Linked DNA regions of Alligator mississippiensis. The protein of the gene in region 1 interacts with the protein of each later gene in a biochemical or structural test. Links are inferred from orthologs where the notes say so. Each region holds a gene or a part of one and is shown on either strand. Other genes may lie near its edges.

What was found.
Region 2: the proteins of TMED10 (region 1) and COPG1 form a complex in vitro, tested with the Homo sapiens proteins (2 studies listed by BioGRID). The link is inferred for Alligator mississippiensis from reciprocal best matches to the Homo sapiens genes TMED10 and COPG1.
Region 3: the proteins of TMED10 (region 1) and COPZ1 form a complex in vitro, tested with the Homo sapiens proteins (2 studies listed by BioGRID, with this or other methods). The link is inferred for Alligator mississippiensis from reciprocal best matches to the Homo sapiens genes TMED10 and COPZ1.

The regions. Positions count from the first base shown.
Region 1 is NC_081825.1:261,331,652-261,339,372, forward strand, and holds the start of TMED10 (transmembrane emp24 domain-containing protein 10), read right to left. Parts: upstream 3,092-7,721; 5' UTR 3,077-3,091; coding exon 2,777-3,076; intron 1-2,776. UniProt on the Homo sapiens protein: Cargo receptor involved in protein vesicular trafficking and quality control in the endoplasmic reticulum (ER) and Golgi.
Region 2 is NC_081835.1:19,921,567-19,929,607, reverse strand, and holds the start of COPG1 (coatomer subunit gamma-1), read left to right. Parts: upstream 1-5,041; 5' UTR 5,042-5,148; coding exon 5,149-5,185; intron 5,186-8,041. UniProt on the Homo sapiens protein: The coatomer is a cytosolic protein complex that binds to dilysine motifs and reversibly associates with Golgi non-clathrin-coated vesicles, which further mediate biosynthetic protein transport from the ER, via the Golgi up to the trans Golgi network.
Region 3 is NC_081838.1:7,959,358-7,967,323, forward strand, and holds the start of COPZ1 (coatomer subunit zeta-1), read right to left. Parts: upstream 3,001-7,966; 5' UTR 2,933-3,000; coding exon 2,915-2,932; intron 1,134-2,914; coding exon 1,065-1,133; intron 759-1,064; coding exon 677-758; intron 491-676; coding exon 399-490; intron 59-398; coding exon 3-58; intron 1-2. UniProt on the Homo sapiens protein: The coatomer is a cytosolic protein complex that binds to dilysine motifs and reversibly associates with Golgi non-clathrin-coated vesicles, which further mediate biosynthetic protein transport from the ER, via the Golgi up to the trans Golgi network.

The DNA.
Region 1 (7,721 bases):
GCATGACAGAAAAGAATACTTGAGGTTTTACCATGCCTTACATGAAATGATACCTTGCCCTCATCTGATCACACTCTCTGAAAAAACAGCAGAAATGAAAGGGGTGTTGAAATGAGAAAAGGTCTGGAAAGTCTTTCATGAGAACAGATGAAAGATTTGGGACAAGTTTAGAGGGGAGGTATGAAAGTAAGACAGAGGTATTCAACATAATGAAGACATAGAAAAGCTAAGTCAGGCAATCCTATCAACCCTCCCCCAACCCCTGCTCACAATAGCAAAGCAAAAAGGCAAACAATAAAATGGAAAGGCAGCACGTTTAAACACTTGTGAAAAGAAACACTCTCCTTATTTATCATCAGAGCATCTAATTAACTCCTACAAAAGACCACTGGAGCCCAGAACTTTGTAGGATTCAGCAAAAAAGATTCAGCTATTTAACACGATTGATAGAACTGCCACGTCAGCCAGGATAAAAACAAGGGCGATAGATAAACCCTCCTACATCAGGGAACAAACCATAAACCGACAGGAGATTAGGGAGAAACTTGCTCTGTAGCACTTCTTGCTCCTTCCTCTGGACCAGCATTTCTTGACCCAGAAATGAGTTGCAAGAATATATGAAAGGGTCGCGAACAAACTTTAAAAATGGATCAACCAACTTTAAAAATGGATTTAAAATAGAAAAAAACATGGGAAACCATGGCTTTTCCCCAGCAGAGTTCCAGCTTGCAAGGGGCTGTTTGGGGCACCCCATGCCCCACCCCCCAGGAGTTGGGGTTGGGAGTGAGGGGCACCGGCAGGGCCAGAGGGCTGTTTTCTACTTAAACTATTTATTGGGTCAGGACTGGTCATCAATGTTAACCTATTTTACCAGGACCCATTTGCAGAGAACCACTGCTCTGGACCATCTGGTACTAGATGGGCCTCTGCCTAGGCAGAGTTCAGCCTTCCGGCTCACCAGCCCTGGAGACCAGTCACAGTACCACCTTGACTCACCAAAGCTAATTCAGGGTGATGCTGTACGGTCTGCACAACAGGGCATCAATCCAAGAGATCGACTGCTGGTGGGCAAGAAGTAGGACTGACTTGAAATGGTCTCTTCTACATGGGGCGCTGCTGCTCTAAGGTTAGCTGGGCCCTGTCTGCTGTGTTCTGGGGCTGGAGGAACCCCTGCCGCTCTCTCTACAGAAACAAGCAGAAAAGCAGGGTAGAGTTGCACCATATAAACGAACCAATTCAGAGATGCATAATATTTCACAAGCACCAGCTCACTTCATGTGATGCCACAAAAACATCTCACAAAGTAAGCTGTTGATTATGAAAATTTACACATCCCTGAATTAGGTAGTCTCTAAAATACAACTCTGCCAAGCCTTCTGCCTGGCCTCAGATTAACACAGTTAAATACCTCTCTGCATAAACGAGGCTGTGCTGTTCCTGGGACTAACTCATTTCTCCCCCAGAACCCAGACTGGGTTCTCTCCCCAGCACTAGCAGCAGACTACCCATAAACCACAGTTCAGACAATAACACCTCTGCTGTCTGTTCCCATCAACTGGGCCCATTACTCAGACTCAGCCAAACACATTATCTGTTAAACCGAGCATATGGGAGAGAGGATAGCTGCACAAAGCCCAATCAACACTTCTGTGGGGGAGAAGCCAGCCTGAAAGAGTTTCTTCATGATATCCTAGCGTTATTTACAGTAACACTGCTCCCCCCCACAGACACAGCATTGTTCTCGCTTGACAAACAACACATCACGCTGGGAGTGTGGGGAATTGAACAATGAGACAGCTGCACGTGACCGGGGCCATGGGGAACGTCATCCACCCAAGAGCCTAGACTCTGCAGCCAGCTGGCGCACTTAGCAGCCTTCACGCACAGAGGGTGCCACTGTTCATATTGGGATTTCACAAACCCTCAGGACTCTGTTCATCAATAAGAACCATCCCAAGTACAATCGATATCAACTCCCAGCCTCCTACAGGTTCATAGCTAACCAGGGGGAGCTTGCCGCATCACTCTGACTTCCGGTGCCAAAGAAAAGGTGCCACCTGAAGACATCCTGCTCTGGCCTCGCCCTTCTGCATCCAAGTACACAATGGCAAAGGAACTGCATTAAAAAGCATTGGCAAAAGCCAGCACTCCTAGGGCAGAGCCAACACATAGCCTGCACACAGCACTCAAACAGCAGAGCAGGGCAGCAAGACACGCAGCAGGCCACTGCTCCACCGGGGCGGCTGCACACGGGCAAGAGAAGACAGCTTTTAAATTCAAACTTGTTGCTTACTCAGCACCTCATGGCTGTCTACAGCACCAATCCCACAGAAGGAGGCAGCACTACAGGAGATCCCTGCAGGTGCTTGGTACCAGGAGCAGGAACGGGGAGCAGCACAGAGCCAGGAGGCGCCAGGCAGGGAGTTCGGGGGCTCACCCCGGGCACCAGAGCACCCCCAGGTAGCAAGCGGAGCTCTGCCACCCCATCAGCGCCCCGCCCTCCCAGCGGGGCTCACGGGCACCGGAAGGGCGTGTGCAGCCGCCCAGGACCCGGGGCCGCCCAGGGCTGCCGCCTAGCGCAGACGATGGGGGTCTCCCCACCGTAACACAGCAGCTGCATGGGCGGGGCCGGCGGGGGGCGCTGCTGCGGCAGCGGAGCTGCCCCAAGCGCCGGCGCCGCCACGTGGGGCCCCTCCCCCGGTGCCACGTGTAGGCCGCGGTCCAGGCTCTGCGGCGGGCTCGGCCCCCTGGCCCCCCCCCCGGCCCGCGGCGGCACCTTGAGGTTAGCGGCGGGGCCAGCGGAGGAGCCGGGCGGGGCGCCGATCTCGTACTCTCCCGTGACCAGCGTGTCGCGGTGGATCTCCTCGCGCAGGCACTTGCGCGCCTTGCCCGGCAGCTGGAAGGAGATGGGCCGCGCGGGGCCCGCCAGCAGCAGCAACAACAACGGAGGCAGCGGCAACATGGCGGCGGCACGGCGCTCCGGATGCCACAGGCCGCACGTCCGCGCGCCGCACGTGACCCGCCACCGCCTGCGTGGTGCGTCACCGGGGGCGGGGCGGGCGTGGGGCCGCGTCATCCTGCGCCGCGCGTGCCCTGCTGTGGGGCGGTAGTAGAATGGTCAGTGGCGCGCGGCCTCGTAGGCGCGCGCAGCCGTAGCGTGTCCTTGTGCCGCAGCGGCGCGGCCTGTTCCAGCCTTGGGACCGGGGCGCTGCCACGTGCCTCTTCGCTGCTGGGGAGGGGTGGGGATTGGGTTCGTCAAATAAAGTTTGGTCAATTGAGCAGTCAAACATTGTAAAAAATTGCCAAAGGGTCCAAATAATACATAGGAAAAGCACAAGTTTTCCATGAAGGAATGTGTCAAAAACAATACATCATATTTCTGTCAAGAAAACTACAAAGAAATAGGGTTTTTTGTAAATTTGCTATCATCTTTGACCCTCTCAAAAATATAGAGTCAACTGATTGACTTGCCAAGCCTACTGCTTGCCAACTCTAGGCAGGAACCTTCCCCTAGCAGCTATCCCAGCCACTCTCTCCCCAGGCTGCCCCATGCTGAGGCACAGAGGAGCAGAGCTGACAGGGGCCTCACAAGGACCTCTAGTTCAGCCCCTGCTTAGGGCAGGAGGGCCTCGGGACCCTGTCCTGCCATGCATCTGTGCAGGATGCTCCTGAGGAGCATCATGTTGGCTCTGAAGAGCTGGAGGGGAGGGAGACATTTACTCATTTGACCTGACCTGGGGGAGGTGGGACAGAGCTGGCTTTGTTAGGCTGAAGTCAAGAAGCAGGCAGGAAGACTGGTACCTTACAGGCTAACCTGAGAGAGACAGTGTCTACCTAACTAAGTGTGTGTGCACGCGTGTCTGTCTGTCTATCTAGTTCTACTAGCTAGCTAGCTCTGTAGCACAGGCTTTGGTGGTATGAAGCTCACTGGCTTCAGGCACGGCAGACGGTTCTTCAGCTAGATGTGATATCTTTTATTAGACCAACTAAATAGTTGGAAAAATTGTTCTTTGCAAACTTTCGGGCACAAACACCCTTCTTCAGATATAAGGAGAGTCCAGTGTTGTTTTATATGCTTTCCTGGGTAGAACAGAAGCCAGTATGTAAAATGCTGGTCTGTAAAGATGCAAATGTGTGGCGGTGAGGTTCAGAGGGAATGGGAGACAATAGGTGTGAGACAGGTGGGGCAGGGAAGGAAGGGGGAATGTTGAACTGGTGACAGAATGTAGCTGATAAAATGCAGACTGATTGCCTGGGGTTGTCAGATGGCAGGCAGGTTATAATGTGCTGTCAATCCAATGTCTATATTTAGTCTGTGATTTTTTGTATCCAATAGATTTATGAAGTGAAGTTGTAGGCTTGTCTATGAAAGGTGTTTTGTAAACTGCCTTTGAGGATTAGAACTGAGAGACTGGAGAAAGAGTGGTTGTCTTGTGAGAAGTGTGTGCCCACCGAAGTGATTCTTCCACTCTGTTCAGCCCTGGCAAGGCCCCTCCTCCCCCAGCCTACCATGTCCAGTTCTGGGCCCCATACTTCAAAAATGTCAGGGGCAGATTTTAATGAGCCCAGAGCAGAGCAAGAATGACTGGGGCCTAGGAGGCAAGACTTACGAGGAAAGGCTGAAAGAAATAGGGTGGTTTAGTCAGAGAAGACTGAGTGGGGCTTTCATTAGTCTTCAAATACCTGAAGGGCGATTACAGAGGATGCAGATGGGCTTTTCTCTGTAGCTACAGAAGACAGGACCTGGAGCAATGGCCTCAAGTTGCAACAGGATATTTAGGAGGAACTTTCTGACTATAAAGGTGGTCAAGCACTGGAACAGGCTACCTAGAGAAATTGTGGTTTCTCCATCTGTGGAAGTTTTCTTGAAATTGGCAAAGAGCCTATGACTATGGTTGATGCAAGCGCACATGGCTTGCAGCAATGCAGGGATGTGGCCAGGCACCCAGAGCAAAACAGAAGCAGCAACTTCTGGTTGCTGCTGTGGTCCTGAATGTGAACCTGGGGCTGCTGGCAGCAGCTGCTCTTTTTTGCTTCACGTCTGCTAGCACCCAGGATGGTTGCCCCTGTCACTCCCCCTGTACTTACACCACTGATGGCTTGATTATGTCTTGATGCATGATCACCAGTGGCACATGCTTCCAAAATACAGAACTATGTTCAGATTGTAAAAGAAATGGTGATGATTATTTTCTGTAGCAATTTTATTAATATTATGGGCAGGAAACAAAATAGACTATGCCGAATTGCAAAGCAGTCTTAAGAAACTATGTATAAGCCACTGCTTAAGCTTCAGAAAATAGTTATTAATTCACAAAAAGATTGGTTAGATGTAAAGTGCAGGCCTGGTGAGGACATCAATGTGTATCTGCTTTAAAAGAGCATGTAAAGAGCATGTAAAGCATAAAAGCATGGCTCAGGAGGAAGAAGCATTGGAAGTAACTGTAACTTAAGTACTACCCATTTTTTAGACAAAAATTTGACAAACTCAGGAAACGCAGTGTGACTTAATATTATGGAAGTTTGAGAGAGCAGCCAGGGGGAGAAGGCCAAGAAGCACCTTCAATCTCAAAATCATATTGGGACCATAAAAAAGTCACTGCATATGGTGAGTGAGATTCTCTTAAAAGGACATCACGTTATAATACTAGGGAGGGAGCATAGTGACAACAAGCAAGCTAATAGGGCAGCAGCCAAGCCTGAAAAAATGTTTCCAGCAGCAGATGTGCTACCTCACAAATGAGAAACAGTAAACCCTTCATACATCCTGGCAGGGTGGCTAATTAGCTCACCCTAAAGCAACTATCCTATTGTATCCTGCTACCTTGCTTCTCATTTAGGAGGTTGTGCATTATGCAAGTGCTTCAGGAATGTATTCCCCCCCCCGCCCCAACTACATTTCTGGATTTACCCTTCCATGAGGATGGGAATGCTAAACAATCCAACTGGGCACATCTACATAAGACATTCATTGTGCAGTTGACTTATTAGCTGTGCAGTAAATGTCTACCATCTACACATGCACCTCATTAGGCTGCAGTAGCTTAATTTACTCCACAGCAGGACAGTACGTGTAAATACAAATACTATCCTACTGTAGAGTAAAACAATCAACAGCAGTGCACACGTAGATACTACAGGGGCTGACTGGGAGATGAGGGTTCTTCAATGCAGGGGCTGCCTGCCGACTGAAGCACCCTCGTGCTCCAGCCAGCCCTCCTACAGCAAGTTGAGCCATGGGGACTGAGCAAGTTGTGCCATGCTGGCAGGTTGACCCCCAGGGCTCCCTGCCAACTGGAACTGCTCTGGTCTGGCTCCACATACTGCGCATGAATAAACTGCAAAGTTTATTGCTCCCAAGTTAATTGCTCCAGAATTAATTGCTCCTGGTATGTTCAAACAGCGTGCCCAGAAGCAATAATCTGCAGAGCAATAAACTCCACAGTTTATTTGTGCGTCGTAATAGCATGTCTAGATGCGCCCACTGAGAAATGCAAGAACAGAGCCCAGGTATAATAGGGCTAGCAAAGATAAGATATCTAAGACTGAAACCTACAATAGCAAATACAGACAAATGAATGCAAAAGAACTCTAATAAATTCCTGATTGTCTTTTGGACAGGCTGGATTGTAGTTTCATAGTTAGTAGGGTCAGAAGGGACCTGAGCGGATCATCAAGTCCGGCCCCCTGCCATGGGCAGGAAAGAATGCTGGGGTCAGACGACCCCGGCAAAGTGTCTATCTAGCCTCCTCTTAAAGACCCCCAGGGTAGGAGCGAGGATCACTTACTTCCCTTGGAAGTTGGTTCCAGATCCTAGCCACCCTGACTGTGAAGTAGTGCCTCCTGATATCCAGGCTGAATCTGCTCTCTGTCAGCTTATGGCCGTTGTTCCTTGTTACTCCCGGTAGTGCTCAGGGGAACAGGGACTCTCCCATTGCCTGCTGGTCTCCCTTGGCCAGTTTATAGATGGCCACCAGATCCCCTCTCAGCCTCCTCTTGTGGAGGCTGAACAGGTTCCGATCCCACAGCCTATCCTCATAGGACCTGCCCTGCTGACCCCCGACCATGTGAGTGGCCCTCCCCTGGACCCTCTCAATGTTGTCCACATCCCTCCTGAAGTGTGGCGCCCAGAACTGGATGCAGTACTCCAACTGGCGCCTGACCAAGGTCACATAGAGGGGGAGGATCACCTCCTCGGACCTGCTCGTGATGCATCTATGGATGCATGACAAGGTGCCTTTCTGACTGCATCCCCACATTGGCAGCCCATGTTCATCTTTGAGTCAATAATGACTCCAAGATCCTTTTCTGCCTCTGTGCTGGCGAGAGGGGAGTTACCCAGCCTGTAGGTATGCTGTTGGTTCTTCCTATCCAGGTGCAGTACCTTGCACTTGTCAGTGTTGAAACCCATCCTATCCTCATCCGCCCATGTCTGTAACCTGTTCAGATCTGATAGCAGCTTGTCCCTCCCCTCTAGCGTGCCCACCTCCCCCCACATCTTAGTGTCATCTGCGAATTTGAACAAGGTGCTATTCACCCCCTCGTCCAAGTCGCTGATGAAGATGTTGAACAGTGCAGGTCTGAGGACTGAGCCCTGCGGAACCCCACTGCCCACATCCTTCCAGGTCGAAAAAGACCCATCCACCACCACTCTAGGTACAGCCCTCCAGCCAATTGGCAACCCATCTGACCGTGTAGGGATCGACACCACAGTTGCCTAA
Region 2 (8,041 bases), on another chromosome or scaffold:
CAGAACTCATGGCCCGAATCGGGCGTCGAAAGTAAATCTCAATCGTGTGAGCTCAAGTTGTCCAAACTCTGGGATTCTCTGTAGCGTAATGCAGCCCCTGTGATGTAACCAGTGCACTTGTTCCTGAGTTGTGGCCCGTGGTTCAGAAAGCGCCTGCTGGTGGTTCACTGAGAACTGGCTGTTCGTAGGGTGCTGACTCCTACCTCTTTGGATCTAGCTCCTTGTAGACAGGTGCCAACTCCTTTTCCTTCAGAAAAGGTTAGTTGCCTGGAAAAAAAACCCAACTGGAAACAAACAGGGGCAGTCACTTCTCATCTTTTTCCTCAGTTTTCCCCTCTGTAGAAGGGGAACAATTATGGCACCCCTTCCCCTCAAAAGTATATAAAGTGCTCTACAGACAAAAGCCCTATCCTGTACCTGCCAGACATGCTTAATGTGCCAGGTAGAGAGGCTTTTATTTAGTCTCCGTTCAGAAACATTTTTGCTGTAGTCAGTGCCTAAATGAAAGGATCTAAGAACTCACCTTTAATTATGTACATACCTGCAATGGCCTTTGGCAGGGCTGGGCTGAGCTTGCTTGCACTTCATCTGTCTGTATCCAGAGGAAGGATGGTCTGGGAGGGACAACTCTGCACTGAAATTCAGCAGCTCCGGAGATCTATTTTGATTTCTCCTACAGATTTCCTGGTAGAGTTGAGAAGGGCTCATAACCCCTTTCTTTGTGTCTCAGTTTCCATTTCTGTAAAATGGAGATAAAGATAGTTCCTACTTCACAGGTGTTGGGAGGATAATGATCAATAATGGGTCGGGTATGGAAAAGTCAGGGAACAAGCAAGCAGAGAGGAGGGCCTGGGAATCCACGGTACCTTCTGTCTGCATATTCTGGAGCCACTTTCAAGTCCAAACAGCCCCAGGGGCTTCTGTCAGACTAATGTGGGAAGTGGGAGAGGCACCAGAGTTGCTGTGTGACACAGAACAAGCAAAAAATGAGATAAATGCTGCTCCCGTCTCCTGACCCAGTCGACAGCCAACATTTTACAGATCCCTGGCCCCCAACCCCTGGCTGGCAGGTAGCTTGGGGGCCCCTAGCAAGAAACTATTTCTTGACAGTTTTGTTTTAACGAAAGGAAGTTGATCTTTAAGGAGAATGTTTCCCTGTGCTTTGGACAGAAAATGAAACAACTCTGGGGATAATACAGAAAGCAAAATTGACAGGTGAGGTTTACAGGAAATTGAGACAGGTTAAGAGCTAATGGACAGGAACAATGGATATTTGTCTCAGCAATCTCTGGGACCCTGGGAAAAGAAACACAAGTCAATTAGGCCTGGCTCTTCCCTTTATGTCGGCGTAGCTCTGTTGTTGCAGTAGAACAATACCTCCTGCTTACAACATTATGGGATCAGACATGACCTCTGGATTTCTCTCTAGACAGGTTTCCCTCCGGCTGCAGGGACAACTGTCTCTTTGTGACTCAGGCTACCAAATCTGGCACTTCACCCAATACACTGTACTGCTGTATATTTTTAAATATGCCAGTTTCCAGACATTTGAAATACAAGGTCTTAAATGTGTTTCCTTCTTGCTATCTCTATGCATCTCTCTTTATAAAAAAAAGATGTTCATTCTCCTGTATAAGAGAGTTTATATTTATCACACTGAAGAATTTAGGAGAGAGTGCAAAGAAAGATGGGATATGTAAAATAAAAGGAGTCTTATCAAACACTTCTGTTGTCTGTATAACCATTCGACTAGTATGTCACATCTGACTGCATCATCATAACCTGGTAGGACCCTGTCCCCCAAGGTAGCATGCATCTCTATCGTTGGGGACCAGACAATAGATGAGCCCAGAAATAAGTGAAGCTGCAGCAAGTTGCTCCTTCCTTCTATTGGCATTTTGTCTCCTGAATAGGGTAGTAACCAAGCCAGGGGTTGATAGAAGTGTACCATGCTGGCAGTGTGCAAGTCATTTGGGAGTAAGGTGGCAAGTAAGAGGCAAAGTCACCCCTGCGGTTGTCAACTGACTGAAGAGTAAAATTATCTCTTGTGAGGTCCTTCTGGACCAAGAGTGAAGTGGAGACAATGTGGGTCAGGAACTGCTGTGATGATAGCAGGCCGCAAGGAGAGCAGTTCCCATCTAGCAGGATGTAATTGTGCAAAGCCCTTGAACAACTGCTTTGGAGCTGACCCAGGTATAGCAGTGACAATCTCTGGCAACAAGCCATGTTCAAATCCTCCTTGACCAAATTCAATGGTGTGTATAGGGAATAAAGAGAAAGCAGAGTCATTCGGCAATAGAAATAGGAGCCAAATTAAACCTGGTTCATGGAAAGCAGTGAAATGGCACCAGTTTATGTCAGTCAAGTATTTGACCTCCCCCCACTTGCTCCACATGTCTTATTTGGGTCTCCAACCAGGGTTTTAGCAGAAACAACGCTCTTGCCAGCCATGAATGCAACTGTGTGTAAATGTGAAACGTCACATTTCACCGCTGGACCCTGACTCCCACGTCTTTGGTGAGCCTTTGAGATAACAGCAGAGAGCAGGGACCAGCCACCAGGTACAAAGTCCACTGCCTGTTTGCACAGGACAGGTAAAGGACTGGCTGGAAGGAGAAGCCCTCCTCAGCCCAGCTGCAGCTGTTTCTGGACACTGCCATGTTCTTTGATGACTACTTGATCACTGGTAAGTACGCTTCTCCTTACAGATCCTTGCAGTAGGTGCTAGCAGCAAAGTTACAGTATCTGGCAAGATGTTTCTTAAGAAGGGCTCCTGTGCACTTTGTGATTCAGAGGGTCAGGCAGGTAAGATAAATTGGTGCAGCGCCTGGAGGTTTCAGCAACAGGTGCTAACTCTACCAATAAACAGTGCTAGGGGTGAGTAGTAACAGCTAGGCTTCCTTTTGCCAACACTTAGACTCCTAGGTGCCATGATTTTTCCAGAGAATGATGACATTCCCCACAATGCGGCTTCTGTACAGTCTGACCTCTCCGTCCAGAGAGGATGGAGGACATGCAGCCAGTGCCATGACCCACTCGGATGTCCCATCTCACTTGCTGAGCAGAGCTGGACTGGATCTGAACTGGGAGAGTCCTTGGGTGTTCACTCACAGGTGGGGCTATAGCAATCCTCAGCGATTATAGTGGTAGGTAACACCTTTCAGTCTGAATCAGCGCTGAACAGCCTGGTAGCATGACGCTAGGCGGAGCTGTGCTCCATTGCTGGAAGTGTCGGCTTTCAGATGAGATGTAAAATGTAAGCCCTGCCTTCCTTTAGTCATTATGGGAGGTGCACAGCCGTGTCCTGGCTGAATTTCACTGAATTAATTCCAGGTTTCCCTAAATGCCCCTGCATTTTTAAGTAGTGTTGGAGTGATGCTGTAGCTGTGATGGTCCAGGCAGTTGGTCCAATAAAAGATAGCACCCTCAGAAACCCTTGGTCCTGCATTTTTTAATGGGATTTTGTGTCCATTCTCATTCCCAAACCATTGTTAGTGAAATGTTCAATGGATGCCACATCCCACACAGGCACACAAGAGAGGGGAATGGACTGAGACAGAGGCAGCCAAGGGTGTTGAGGACTCATAGTGCTAAATTACTCTGGCCCCTGCCACACGTTACATTTCAAGCATGATTAACCAGTTAATCACATCTTAAGTTGTAACCTGGCCACACGTTCAATCATTCAGTGATATGATACATAAGGAATAAGGCACCAAATTATTCCACAAAACACATGTAGTAAGTTTGTGTCTGGTTCCTATCACACCATTAATGGAAGATGTAGCCAGGTGCACCCCTGGGGCTGGGAGCACTATCAGCTGAGAGGGCTCCCAGCTGCAGGTGCTTACCACTGGCTGCTGCTCTGGGCAGAAAAGACAACTGGGGTCAAATAACACCAGCAAGGTGTGTGTCCAGTCTCCTTTTGAAGACCTCCAGAGTAGGTGCCTGCACCACCCCTGCTGGGAGTCCGTTCCAGAGTCTGCTCACGCAAACTGTATTTGTATGATAATTTTAACCCTTGTACAACAGATAATACTGAAAGTGTTCAAAATGTACAATAATTTTTTCACATCATTATATTTGGGGGAAAAAAACCAAGTAAGTCACTCCACCGACAATCTGAGCTGAACTAGTTTATTTAATCCTATGATCTCACCCGTTCTCACTCGCATTGAATTGGAATTTGAGAAGGAATAAAGTGAGTCATATCTGCCATTTATCTTTAACTGGAGATTTAAACAGTGAGCAATAGAAAGTAGCTGCATAACAAACACATCGCTAAATCCCATTGTGTAATAATACTAAGAGCTTTATTTTAAATACTATGTAACATCTTAAATTGATTGGAAGTCAAAGGGGTTCTGCGCCTGCCTCGCTTGCAAATTCCAGGCACGTACCTAATACAGCCTGCTGCAAAATAAAGCGTACAAGATTTACAAGACGCAGCCCCGAGCCGCGAAACAGAGACAAGAACAATCGCAGTAATAAATTCAGTTTAACCCGCAGTTGGAGAAAGACTTAAACCAAAACCTCCTGGCCAAGTCTTTGGGGAGAGGAGGTCTCTTTTATTAGACCAACTAAATAGTTGCAAAAAAAGGCTGAGCGGGCAGTGCCAAGCAGGGGGGCGCAGCCTGCGATGACACCAGCAGAAGCGACCACATAACATGACGTCACTTTAAAAAGTCTTATGTGCACACTTTTTGTTTCAGTGCATGACAGTTTTTCAGAAAATACGGGAATTGACCTTCCAATTTCATATTTAAAACCCGCTCCCTGCCCCAGACCACAAACCAGCCTCGTCCCGACCCAGCGCCAGCGCCGGACACCGCCCCGCGCATGCGCAACCGGCTGCCTCCCTCTCGGGTCGCAGCCCTGGGTTGGGCCGTGCCCCGCCTACCACCTAGCACCACCTTCCGCATAGCGCATGCGCAGCCCCCTCCTTTCGCCCGGCCACGTCGAGGTGAGTGACGGCTCCGGGCGCCTTGCGCGTGCGCACATGCGCGAGACGGGCGGGCTGAGGTGTCCCAGTGACAGCCTGGCAGGAAGTGGCGTGCGGGCAGGAAGTGGCGCCGCTGCTGGGCTCGCGACCCTCTGCCCCCCGTGCCGGGCTTTGCGTTCCACGCGCCCCCCACCCCCTGCGCCAGGATGCTGAAGAAGTTCGATAAGAAGGACGAGGAGTCGGGTGAGGCGCGGCCGCAGGACGCCCCCTGGTGGTGGGGATGGGCGGGGCAGGGGCACCTGCCCATGCAAGGACAGCAGGGCCAGGGCTTTCTGCAGTGGGGCAGGGGCAGGGGCTGCGGTGATGCTGGGCTGGCATCTGCAGGTACCGGGCCACACCGGTGCCCCTCTGCTGTCGTCCTGGTGCCCTGCTGGAGGTACCACCGGGCTGCACTGCTGCCCCATCCCCTGCCAGGTGCAGTGCCAGGGCTGGCGACACAGCCTGCCCCAGGTGCTGATCCTGCCCAGGGTTCGTACGTTCTCTGCACGTGGAACCTGACCTCGGCCATCCGTGTCCAGGGGTGTTTCCACCTCTGCAAGGACAGGCTGGCTGGCTCCACGGGGCCAGGCCAACCTGGAAATGCTCAGCAACAGGGGGTGCTACCGTGGTATATCGTGGAGGACAGGGGCGAGGGTTGGAGTGATAACGAGGGATTGGAGGGGGGCGCGGAGCGGGGGACATCAGCTGGTGCCCACTGCTCCTCAAACGCATCCAGGGCTATGTGGTGTGCATTGGGAATGCGGGCTAATGCCCACCATGTAAAGCTACAAGCCCCCCTTTAATATGGGGTGCCACAAAGTGCACATGACATTATTGCTGGGGACACCTAAAGAAGAAAATGGGGACAGGAGTGAAGATCAGAGGTTTAAAAGGGGCACACCATGGAGGGACACAGAGCAGAGCACGCTGGCCAGCACCCACTGGCTCACCACCAAGTCCAAGGAGCCAGTGAAACTCTGCCTGGAGACGTGAACACAAAGGCAGGACAGGAAAGCAGCCCTTGAATGCATCTAGGGAGCCTGCAAATGCTGCCCAGTAAAACTGCCTGGAGATATGCGTGGAGGAAGAAGATCTGCCCACAGGTCCCCAGGTTGGCTCCACCCTGGGTGTCCTTCCAAGTCTGGTAGATGACAAGCTTGGCCAGAGCCAAGTGGAGGTTGCCCAGCAGACCTGCCAGGAAGGGATTTCCTTGGACTTGATGACCCCAGAGGTCCCTTCCAGCTCTTCTCTATGATTTCTATTTTGATGCATGTCAGACCTGTTGATATAGGTTTGGGCCTTCTCTGAGCCTGTTTCTCCTTCAGCTCAGTACTTCCTAACGATCCTAATGATTTTGTGCTTTTGGGGGTGGGACTAGTTTTTTGGGCTCTCTCTCCAGGGACTCTATATAATGGCACCTAAGACACATGTCAGGGCCTCTCATGGTCTGTGCAAATGTCAGAGAGGCTGTTAAGGAGGCTGATTGAAGATGCGATTGGTCCTTTGTGTTGTGGCTTTGGCACTCTGTCCACCTCAGTGTACTTCACCCTGCTTCCTACAAGCTTTTATTTACTGTATCCACCCGGCCTGCACATCTTGGAGACCCTCCAAGTCCACGTGAATATTTTTGCTCTGGTTCTTGGTGCTTGTTTGCATTAGGCTTTTCCATGTTAAATGAAGTTTCCTCTCTCCGAGCTACATGCACAACAAAAAGCTAATCCACAGAGGATTTCTTTCAGTCTTGAACTCTTGCCAAGTTCAGGTTTAAGTGATGTAGCGTGTCCCTTAGCTTACTGACCTCACAGATTAGTCTAGTACATCCAATCGTAAAAGGACAGAGAAGATCATTTTGTGGGTAAAACCTGGTAGTCAGGGGACCAGAGATCTTTTCCAGTTCTTCCACATCCTTCTTATGCAGCCTGGGCAAGCCATGTAAGGGCAATTTCAAAAGTGGCCCCAACTTCTGAGTGTCCAGTGCAAGGCATGTAGCAGTGCTGAGCATTCCCAACACCCCGCGGAGGTCAGCGGAAGCATGTCCACAAACCAGTACTCAATTAGAGGTCATTTTGGTAACTGTAGCCCATAACTTATGTGCCTTGGTTTTCCCCATCTCTGAAATGGGGATAATTATTTGGGTTGCAGGATGCTTTAGTAGTTAAGTCAACACAGATAAAATGCCTTAAGATGCTTAGGTGCAAGGAGTTGGAGAAGGGTCAAGCAATTGATGATGGTTAGTAATATTAATGACAGGTTTGAGAATTACAAATATTAGAAGCCAAAGTGATCCTTGGGTTGCAGGAGTGAGCAGAGTTAGGGGCACTGGATGCTGTTAAGCCTTCCCTGCTAGGTGAGCTTATTCAACCCGCTTTTGGAGTACGTACATCTACAAACACTGGCATTCATCGCTCCTCTCTTGTCGTCTCCCTTCTCTCTTCATCTGCACATTTAAGCTTTGTTCAGCCACATGTTGTGTTGGTGAATGGATCCCAAGGTGGAGGGGTATCTCTTGCCTACATGAAAGGAACCAGTGCCTTTAAGTATAGATCTGAGTCTCACACAGACTGCTTCTCCCTTATACAATTCTTCAGGGCCAGATCATAACAGGGCATTACATGTCAGGGACTATACTGAATGCAGGCAGCACCAGTGTTGAGCGAGGGTGGCTTTGGGTCATGTTGGGTCCACATGGCAAATTGAGTTTAGGCACTAATGAAAATTGCTTATCAATAACTGCCAACTCAGGCAAGGCTGAAACTCGCTGATACGTCCAAGAAGGGCAGATAATGGATGCTACACATAATTGTAGTTCTTGCCCTGTGAGCGTTCCAGCTCTAATTGTTGATGTTTTTCATCAAGTAGCGTTTGGTCTGTTAAATAGGATGATTAAAGAGACTCTATTTCCAGGCTGTCCAGTCCACTGCCTTGTTCGCTTTAATTAACTGTAGATCTGAAAAAATAGCTTATTGATGGATTCCGCTGATTGCATGATGGAGCAGAGTCTAACACAGTCCTGATTTACCGGGGGGATGGGGAGGTAGAGCTTTGTGGGTTTATGGCTAT
Region 3 (7,966 bases), on another chromosome or scaffold:
ACCTCAGCATCTGGCTGAGCGAGTCGAAGAGGCAGGTCAGTACAGCCATGAGCATCAGCTGTGGGCACAAGACACATGGGTCACATGGCAGCACTGTCTGGACACCCCCCTCTCTCCCATCTGACTGCGGGCTCGCCCCCCCACAACGCCCCAGCCTGCCCAGAAACCACCCCCAGGCCAGGCCAAGTTGGGCCCCGCACTCAGCCCCCACACCCAGACCCGGCCCGTGTTGCCCCCCCAGCCCTGATGCCCTCCTCTGTCCAACGCCCAATACCAGGGCAGCACCAGGACCGACCCCCCTCCATGTCCCCCACATAGTTGCCCCTGTACTATGCCCACCCCAGGCCCCACCCCTGCCTGGCCCAGCTCCGCCCCCAGGCCCCGCCCCCTGCCCTCACCTCGTTTTCGTGGGAGCTGCCAATGACATAGAAGTAGAGGTCTATGCTGCTCTTGTAGACCACGGTGAGGCCCTCGAGCAGCGCAATCTCGCCTGGGGGGGTTGGTAAAACGGGGTCAGATGCCGCTTGTAGACACCCTGCACTGGGCCTGGGGGGTGGGGCCCAGGCCAGGGGCCCCGGTCACCCCCAACCCCCTCTGCTGCCAGGCACCAGGCTTGGCAGTGCCCTCCAGTGCCCCAATCCCACCCTTGAGGCAGTGCCCCCCCACCAGGCCGTACTGTCCGTCCGGTGGGTCTTGTTGAAGATGTTCTTCTCAAAGGCCTTCTGCTCCTTGACGCTGGGGTAGGTGTCATCGTAGTACTGGGGAAGAGGGGGCACCGGCGTCAGCCTGGCACTGCACCCACCCAGCACAGCCCGGCCCCCTGGAGCACCCCGCACCTGCCCTTGGGCCGGAGCCCAGGGGCCGGGAGCACCCGCTATTGCTGGGGCTGCCGCGGAGGCCGTGGGCACTTAACTTCCCTCCGCCAAGTGGGCACAGCAGCCTCTGCTCTGCAAAGGAGCCAGGTCCTAGGTGCAGCCCGTGTCCCTCCCCGGCACAGGCGCCCCTAGCCTCCACCACCCTTGGGCACCATCCCTCAGTCCCTGGCACAGCCGCCCCATGCTCACCTTGGCAAAGAGCCGGTCGCCGTCGTTGTCCAGGATGAGGATGGCCTTCACCGTGTACAACGACGGGTCCTGTGGGGACATGGCACCATCAGTGCCAGCCCTGCCCCCACCCAGCGGGTGCCCCCCATCTCCTTGGGGCTGCCCAGGCAGGTCCAGGCCCCGGCACTAGGCTCGGGGGGGCTCATACCAGCCACGTCACGCTGGGGAGAGACAGAGGGCACCGATGCCACCAGGGCAGCTCTCACCCACCTGTCCCACGTGCCCCCCCCCTTATGAGCCGAGAGGCAACCAAGCCCGGGCTCCACCCACCACCAAGCCCTTGGGGTAGGTGCCCCATGCTGCCAGCCCCCTTCCCCAATGGAGCTTGGCACAACACCTGATGCCTGGGAGGTGCCAGTGGGTGCTGCCCCCAGCCCAGCCCACTGCCCCCCTGCAAAGCCTGATGGGATGCCTGGCTGGCCCCAGCACGGATAGGGACCCATGGGGATTTGTCCCCCCCACCATGCTGGTGGCTTTCACAGACCCCACCCCTGCACCAGCTGTCAGAGGGTGACACGAGGCAAGTGCCAGTGGGTCCATGCCAAGCCCTGCACTGGGCAGTGTCACCCCCTGCCCACCCCCTCCCAGTCCCCTTTAATATCAACCCCCCCTTGCACGCATTGCTCAGGTCTCCAGGCAAAACACACACACGGGGGGGGGGTGTACTGAAGTGCTGGCCCCTGGGGCAGGGTGGGCCGGGGGTGACTACCAGTGGGCGCCGGGGCTGGGCCAGGGGTCCCGGGGGCACCGACGGATCCGGGCGCTCGAGACAAAGTTCTGTGATGCACTGACCCCAGGTAGCACAGTCCGAGTGTATGACAGAACTCCGCCTCAAAGGCCACCAGCCGCCCCCGGGGCAGCCCCCCGGCCCCCACCCTGCTCGGACCCCCAGCCCTACCCCCGACAGCCCGTCCGTCTGCAGCCGGGCACCGGGAGCAGGCCGCCCGCTCTGCAGCACACAGCGCCCCGTGCAGCACCAGGCGCCGGCAGGACCCCAGAGCAGCCGGCGGGGCTTGCTCCGGGCCATTCGGGTTGCAGGGGGAGGGAGACGGGGCCCAGGAGCAGCTGCAGCCGTCAGCAGTGCGGCAGGGCACGAGGTGTCAGTAGGATTCAGAGTGAACGGCAACCTGCCCTCCCTCCCGCCCCCCCTGGCCCAGCCTTTGCTACGCTGGGCACTGACATAGGGGTGGGGGGTATGCCCATGGGCCTCGCCCGGCACCAGGGTCCCACTAAGTGTATCCTAAAGGTAGGGCCCAGCCCCCACCTCGTCTCCAATGGTAGGACCCAGACCCCCCATGGTAGGGCCCAGCTCCCCCCCCCATCCCCCAATGGTAGGGCCCAGCCCCCCTGCCCCTTCAATGGTAGGGCTTAGAGCCCCCCATCCACCAATGGTAGGGCCCAGCCCTACTCCTGGCTCCTAATGGTAGGGCCCAGCACTACCCCCCCCATAGGACCCAGATCCCTCTACCCCACAATGGTAGGGCCCAGCTCCCCCCATCCCCCAATGGTAGAGCCTAGACCCCCCCATCCCCTAATAGTAGAGCCCAGACCCCCCTGCCTCCCAATGGTAGGGCCCAGCTACCCCTCCCTGCTCCCCAATGGTAGCCCACCCCATGTCCCATAATGGTAGGGCCCAATCCTCCCCTCCTTGGCCCCTAATTGTAGGGCCCAAGCCCCGCTTTCCCCCACGGCAAGGCCCACTGCCCCCCTCCCTGCCCCCAGTGGTAAGGTCCTGCAGGCCCACCCCGGCCCCAATGGTACGGCCCGCCCCCCCCGCGGCGGTGGTAGGGCCCGGCCGAGCCCGCTCCTACCAGCACCAACGCCTCCATCTTGCGCTCCCCGCTGCCGACGTGGAGCCGGAGCACAGGCCGCAAGCCATTGGCTGCTCGCCTGCCAATCCCGGCTCTACGCCCCGCCCCCGTCCGCACGCTCCCCGTTCACTGGCTACCCCACTTCCTCCTTCTAGCCAACCGGGAGCTGCGCTTCAATGAATGGGCGGACCCCACCCCTCCACCCCAACGAGGATTGGGCGACACCACTGTCGCTCGTGGGCCTCGCTCCTCCCCGCGAGGGGCGGGACAGTTCCTATGACGACTGGGGAAGCGATGACATAATCTTCTTTGCAAGACCTGGGCTGGGATTGGCGGAGGACTCGCGTCACGTGACCGGAAGTGCGGCTGGCCTGGAGTAGGGCTGTGGGCTGTAGCCGGGTCCATTGGGGTTGTGACCCGGGGGTCGGCTGGAGTTGGCCTATGACCTTTGACCTCCGAGTCACGACCCCAGCGTGGGGTGCAGTTGACTGGTGGCCCTTTCTGGGGTCATGATCCTGGGGTGGGATGTTGACCTATGACCCTTGACCTCTGGACTCAGCACTTCTCAGGACTTGGGATCCGGGGGGACCTGCCTCTGGCATAGACGTGTCCCCTGCTGCCCCCGCCCTGCTGGGGCCAGGGAAGGACCCAGGACCTAGGTGTCCCAACCCCGTGCACACGCCATGCACACGCGTGTCCTGTCCCGGGTACTCATGTTCCCCCCAAACCAGCACCTGTGGCTTGTGGAGGGGCCGGGCTGCCCGCTTTCCTCCCCTGGCACGTGCACGCCTGTGCATGGGCATGCACGTGCAACATGTACACTCATGCCAGACTCAGACATGCGTGCCCGCTCACACGCCTGCCAACCCGCTGCCCCCCCATGTTATGGGCAGATCAGCTCCTGCTGCTGGCAAAGAGGTGGGGGCTGCCTGCATGCAAACACAGGCATCCATGAGCGCTGCCATACGCATGCACACAGGTGCCCTCCCACACGCTTGGTTATACACCCGCAGAGACACGCGTGGGCACAGGGGGGCATGCACACAGGCCTGCACCCTCCCCCACCCTCCGGGCAGCCCAGCCCTCCGACTTGTGGGTCAGGCAGGCGGGTCTGGCCACACTGTCCAGAGCCCCCCAGCCCCTGCCCGGAGCCCGCCCCAGCGCCTGCCAGCAGATGCCCGTGGGCAGACCCACATTCCTGGAAAGAGGAAGTTGCTGCACCAGGCCGAGGTGGGGGCAGGATGGGGGCAGGGCGGCGGGGGAGGAGGGGCTTCCAGGGGCGAGTCCTCTGCATTGCACAATGCGGGGGGGGGGGGGGGGGAGGGATGTCCCATTGCACAACCCTGGCCCCGTCCTGGGCTGAGCCATAGTCAAGGGGGCAGGATGGGGGGTAGATGGGCAACAGCCCCCCTGTGACCCCACTCCCCTGGGCAGAGCTGCCATCTGCTGCCTGCTGCCAGGCATCTGGAGGCACTTGGAGCCCCCCCACCTGGCACTAGCACATGTGCACACGCGCGTGTGTGACTCCCCGGACCCTGTGGGGGTGGGCGCGAGCCAGGGGGGAAACTCGGAGTCTGGGGGGGGCAGCTGGGACCAGTGGGTAGAGCAGGGACTTGGTGGAGGACACCTGGGTCCTATCCCAGTGGGGCTGGCTTCTTTCCCCAGCTCAGGGCAGGGAGTGGGGTTGAGTGGGTTAGGAGCGGGGGGGCCCGGACGCCTGGGTTCCTCGGCAGGGAAGTGCTGGGGCCGGGGGAAGCGGCCGAGGCCCCGCCGGTTGCAGAGGAAGCTGCTGGGCGGATCCGCTGCGTGGTGCTGATAAGCGGGCGGCCCCCGCCTGCCCAGCCCCTCCTTCCCCCCCGTAACAGCCTGGCTCCGGGACAGTGGGCTCTGCTCTCAGCCTAGCTGCCCTCCGCGCACCGTGCCCTGGTGAGCAGCTCTGCCAGGATCGGTGCCTCCCAGGCCTGGGAACGCAGCCACCTCTGAGGTGGGCAGGTGGCTGCTTCGCCACACACAACACCAGGGGCGCTCGCAATGCCGGGGGCCCAGCTCAGCCCCTGCCTCCAGCCCTGCCAGGGCCCAGCATGGCCAGGCGGGCGGGGGGGCGCTGGGTGCTGGTTATAAATGGTCCATCTGGCACCAGACGCCGGAGGTGGGAGGGAAACCGCAGTAACGGCCGAGGGGCAAGGGGCGGGGGGGCGACCAGCTGGAGCCTGGCCCAGGAGCCCCGGGGGCACAAGAGAGCCCGTGCCCACGCGTGTCGCCTGCCACATGCGTGGCCTGCGCATGCAATACGTATGTGCTCTCAGTGCCAGCATAAGTCAGAGCACGGGGCTGGGTCTTGTTGCAGCTCAGTGTGGTCCCGTAGCCAGAGCTGCGGACATGTGGCCACGTGCCACTAGTGTGTTTTGTGCCCCCCTGCAGTTGACTGGCACAGATTTACCCCCGGTTTGCCCGGCGGGAGACAGGCGGAGCGTGGGACACGCACATGCTAAGTGTGTGGTGTGTGTTGCAGACGAGTGCGGCCCTGACGTGCCCACGTACGTTCTGAGCTGCACTCCCGTGTCGCGTGTGCTGTGGGTGCACGAGGAGCCAGTAACCTGGGAGTGGCATGTTACAGGTGTGTGCGGCCCTGGCGTTCCTGGTGTGCTCCAGGCCAGGTTCCCCATGTGTGATGTGTCATAGGCATGTGCCCACCCTGCTTCCAGCTTGTGTTCCTGGCACAACTCGGGGCTGGGCCTGTACCTTTAAGGCCCATAAAGGGGCTTTTGTTGCTGCTGGCAGGAGTGGGGAAAGGGCCGTGGCGTGGCCCCACCTGCCCCAGGTCTCCTCCTGGCCAGCTTCGGGGTCCCTTCTTCAAAGCCAGGACGCCTGGCTTCCACCCCAGCTCTGCAGTGTGCTGGGCATGCAAGTGCCCATGCTCATGAGCACCAAGAGGCCCAGAATCTGGGCCAGGGGGTGGCTGGAGGGGCAGTGCCAAGCCATGACCCTGCCAGCCTCCACCCTTCCCCCCTCCATGGAGAAACTGAGGCACGGAGCAGGCTGGGCCAGGACTGGGCCACCACCGTCCTCGACTCCTGGGTTCTGCATTCAGCTCTGAAAGGCGAGCAGGGTGTCCTGGGTAGGGCTGGGAGCCGGGGTGCCTGGGTTTTCTTTCTTGGTCCCCTGCCGTGACCTGGGCCTGGCCTGTCCCCTCTCCATGCCTCAGTTTCCCTGCTCGTTGGCTGGCTCCCACAGTGGGGGTGGGGCCAATTTGGGATCCTCCCATAAACGGCGCAGTCTCCAGTGCCTGCCTTATACCCCCCCACCCCCAGATGCTGCCCCCGGGGCGCACACAAGCAGCCTGTTCAGTGTACACATGTGCACACACACACGTGTGATCTGGGGAGTCCCTGGGGGGCAATGGGCGGGGGGGAGACACACTTAGCTTTGTGCTACAGTTGGCCCAGGAGTCTCGGAGCCAGCTTGGTGCCATGTGTGTGCATGTTTGCACGTGTGTGTGCACACATGTCACTGCTTTAGTGTCTGTGGATCGCTGCGTGGAGCCCTGTCTGTGTGCGTGTGTGTGTTGCACATTGGTGCAGCGCTTCTGCGGATGTCCCCTTGTCACACACACGTCCCCATATTGTCGGGGGCTCCTTGTGTGAGTCTGTGTTGTGCCGTCACACATGCCTTCCAGAGCAGGCGTGCGTGGCTATGCACCAGGCGTGCGTGCACATCCACGTACGTTGTGTGTTGGGCCTGACCCCCCTGGGCTCAGAGCATGTCAGTAAGCACACGCATGTGTGTGAGTACATGTGAAGGAGATACCTCAGTGTGCATTGCATGTGTTGTTCCGTGTGCACGTGGCCCCGTGCGTCATGTTGCAGTGTCCCCGTGTGCGTGTTGCTGTGTGCCTATGCACACGTGTGTGGCCCCATGTGTGGTGTGCGCATGTCTGTGGGGGTCTGACCGAGTGCAGCGCACATTGCTGTTCATGGGTGCACGCAGGGCACTGTGTGCTCCGTGTGTGTGTGCACAGGGGAAGTGTCGTGCGTGTGTCGCCCATCATGTGTCATGTGCATGGGCATGCGTGTCCCTCAGGCTCACGTTTCCCTGCTGTGAGGCCTCCACCGTAGGGCCGGGAGGGTGGAGGGGGGTGGCTGCCGGTGCCTGTGTGGCCACAAGCAGGGGAGGCGTCGGGCTGCGGCCCCGGCTTATGTAACCGCCGCCCGCCTGGGGCCGGCACAGAGCCACAGCTGCCACGGCCACGGCCCTGCCGCCTGCGCCATGGGGGTGCCCTGAGCCCCCAGGCTTCGTGCCCACGTCCCCGGGACCCCAGCAGGTAAGACCTGTGGCTTCTCAATGGGGACTTTGTTCTGCCCGATGCTGTGGCAGGTGTGGGAACCTGAGAGCCGTGGGCTGGGTGGCGGGGCGCAGGGGCTGCTCCAGGCCCCCCACCTCCAGTTGTGGCCCCAGATCAACCCCCCGGGCACCTGGGTCCATTCCCTGCCCCCCTCCCCTCAGCTCCCGGGGTGCAGAGAGGTCTGGCTGGGGCTCTCCAGGCATGTCTGGGGGACACCGGGTGCTGGGAACCCAGGAGTCCAGGGCAGGGGTGGGGGCGTGGGGCAGCAGGTGCGTGTGTGCCAGGGGGAGGGGGTGCTGGTCACAGGTCTTGCACACCACCGACTCTGGGGGTATCAGGGGTTGGCTCTTGCTGGAGGGGAGGGGGGTTGTGGCAGGCAGAGTTTGCACACACACACACACACACACACACACACACTTGTTTATAGGCACAATACGTGTGCATGCTCATGCACATGCATGCACACGCATGCACACGCACCCAGGCTGGCAAAGGCACCACATTCTGGGCCCCTCCTAGCCCAGAGGTGACTCTGTCCCATTGTGGGCAGGCTGGCGTGTGCATGTGCAAGCCTGCATCCATGTGCAAGCATGTGCCTCCGCACAGGCACTGCACCCTGTCCCGTGTTTCCTAGACCCCGTACTGCCTGGTGAGTCTCCTCCAGGCCTTGCTGGAGGGCTCCCTGCATGCCCTCCCGGCCCAGCCCAGGG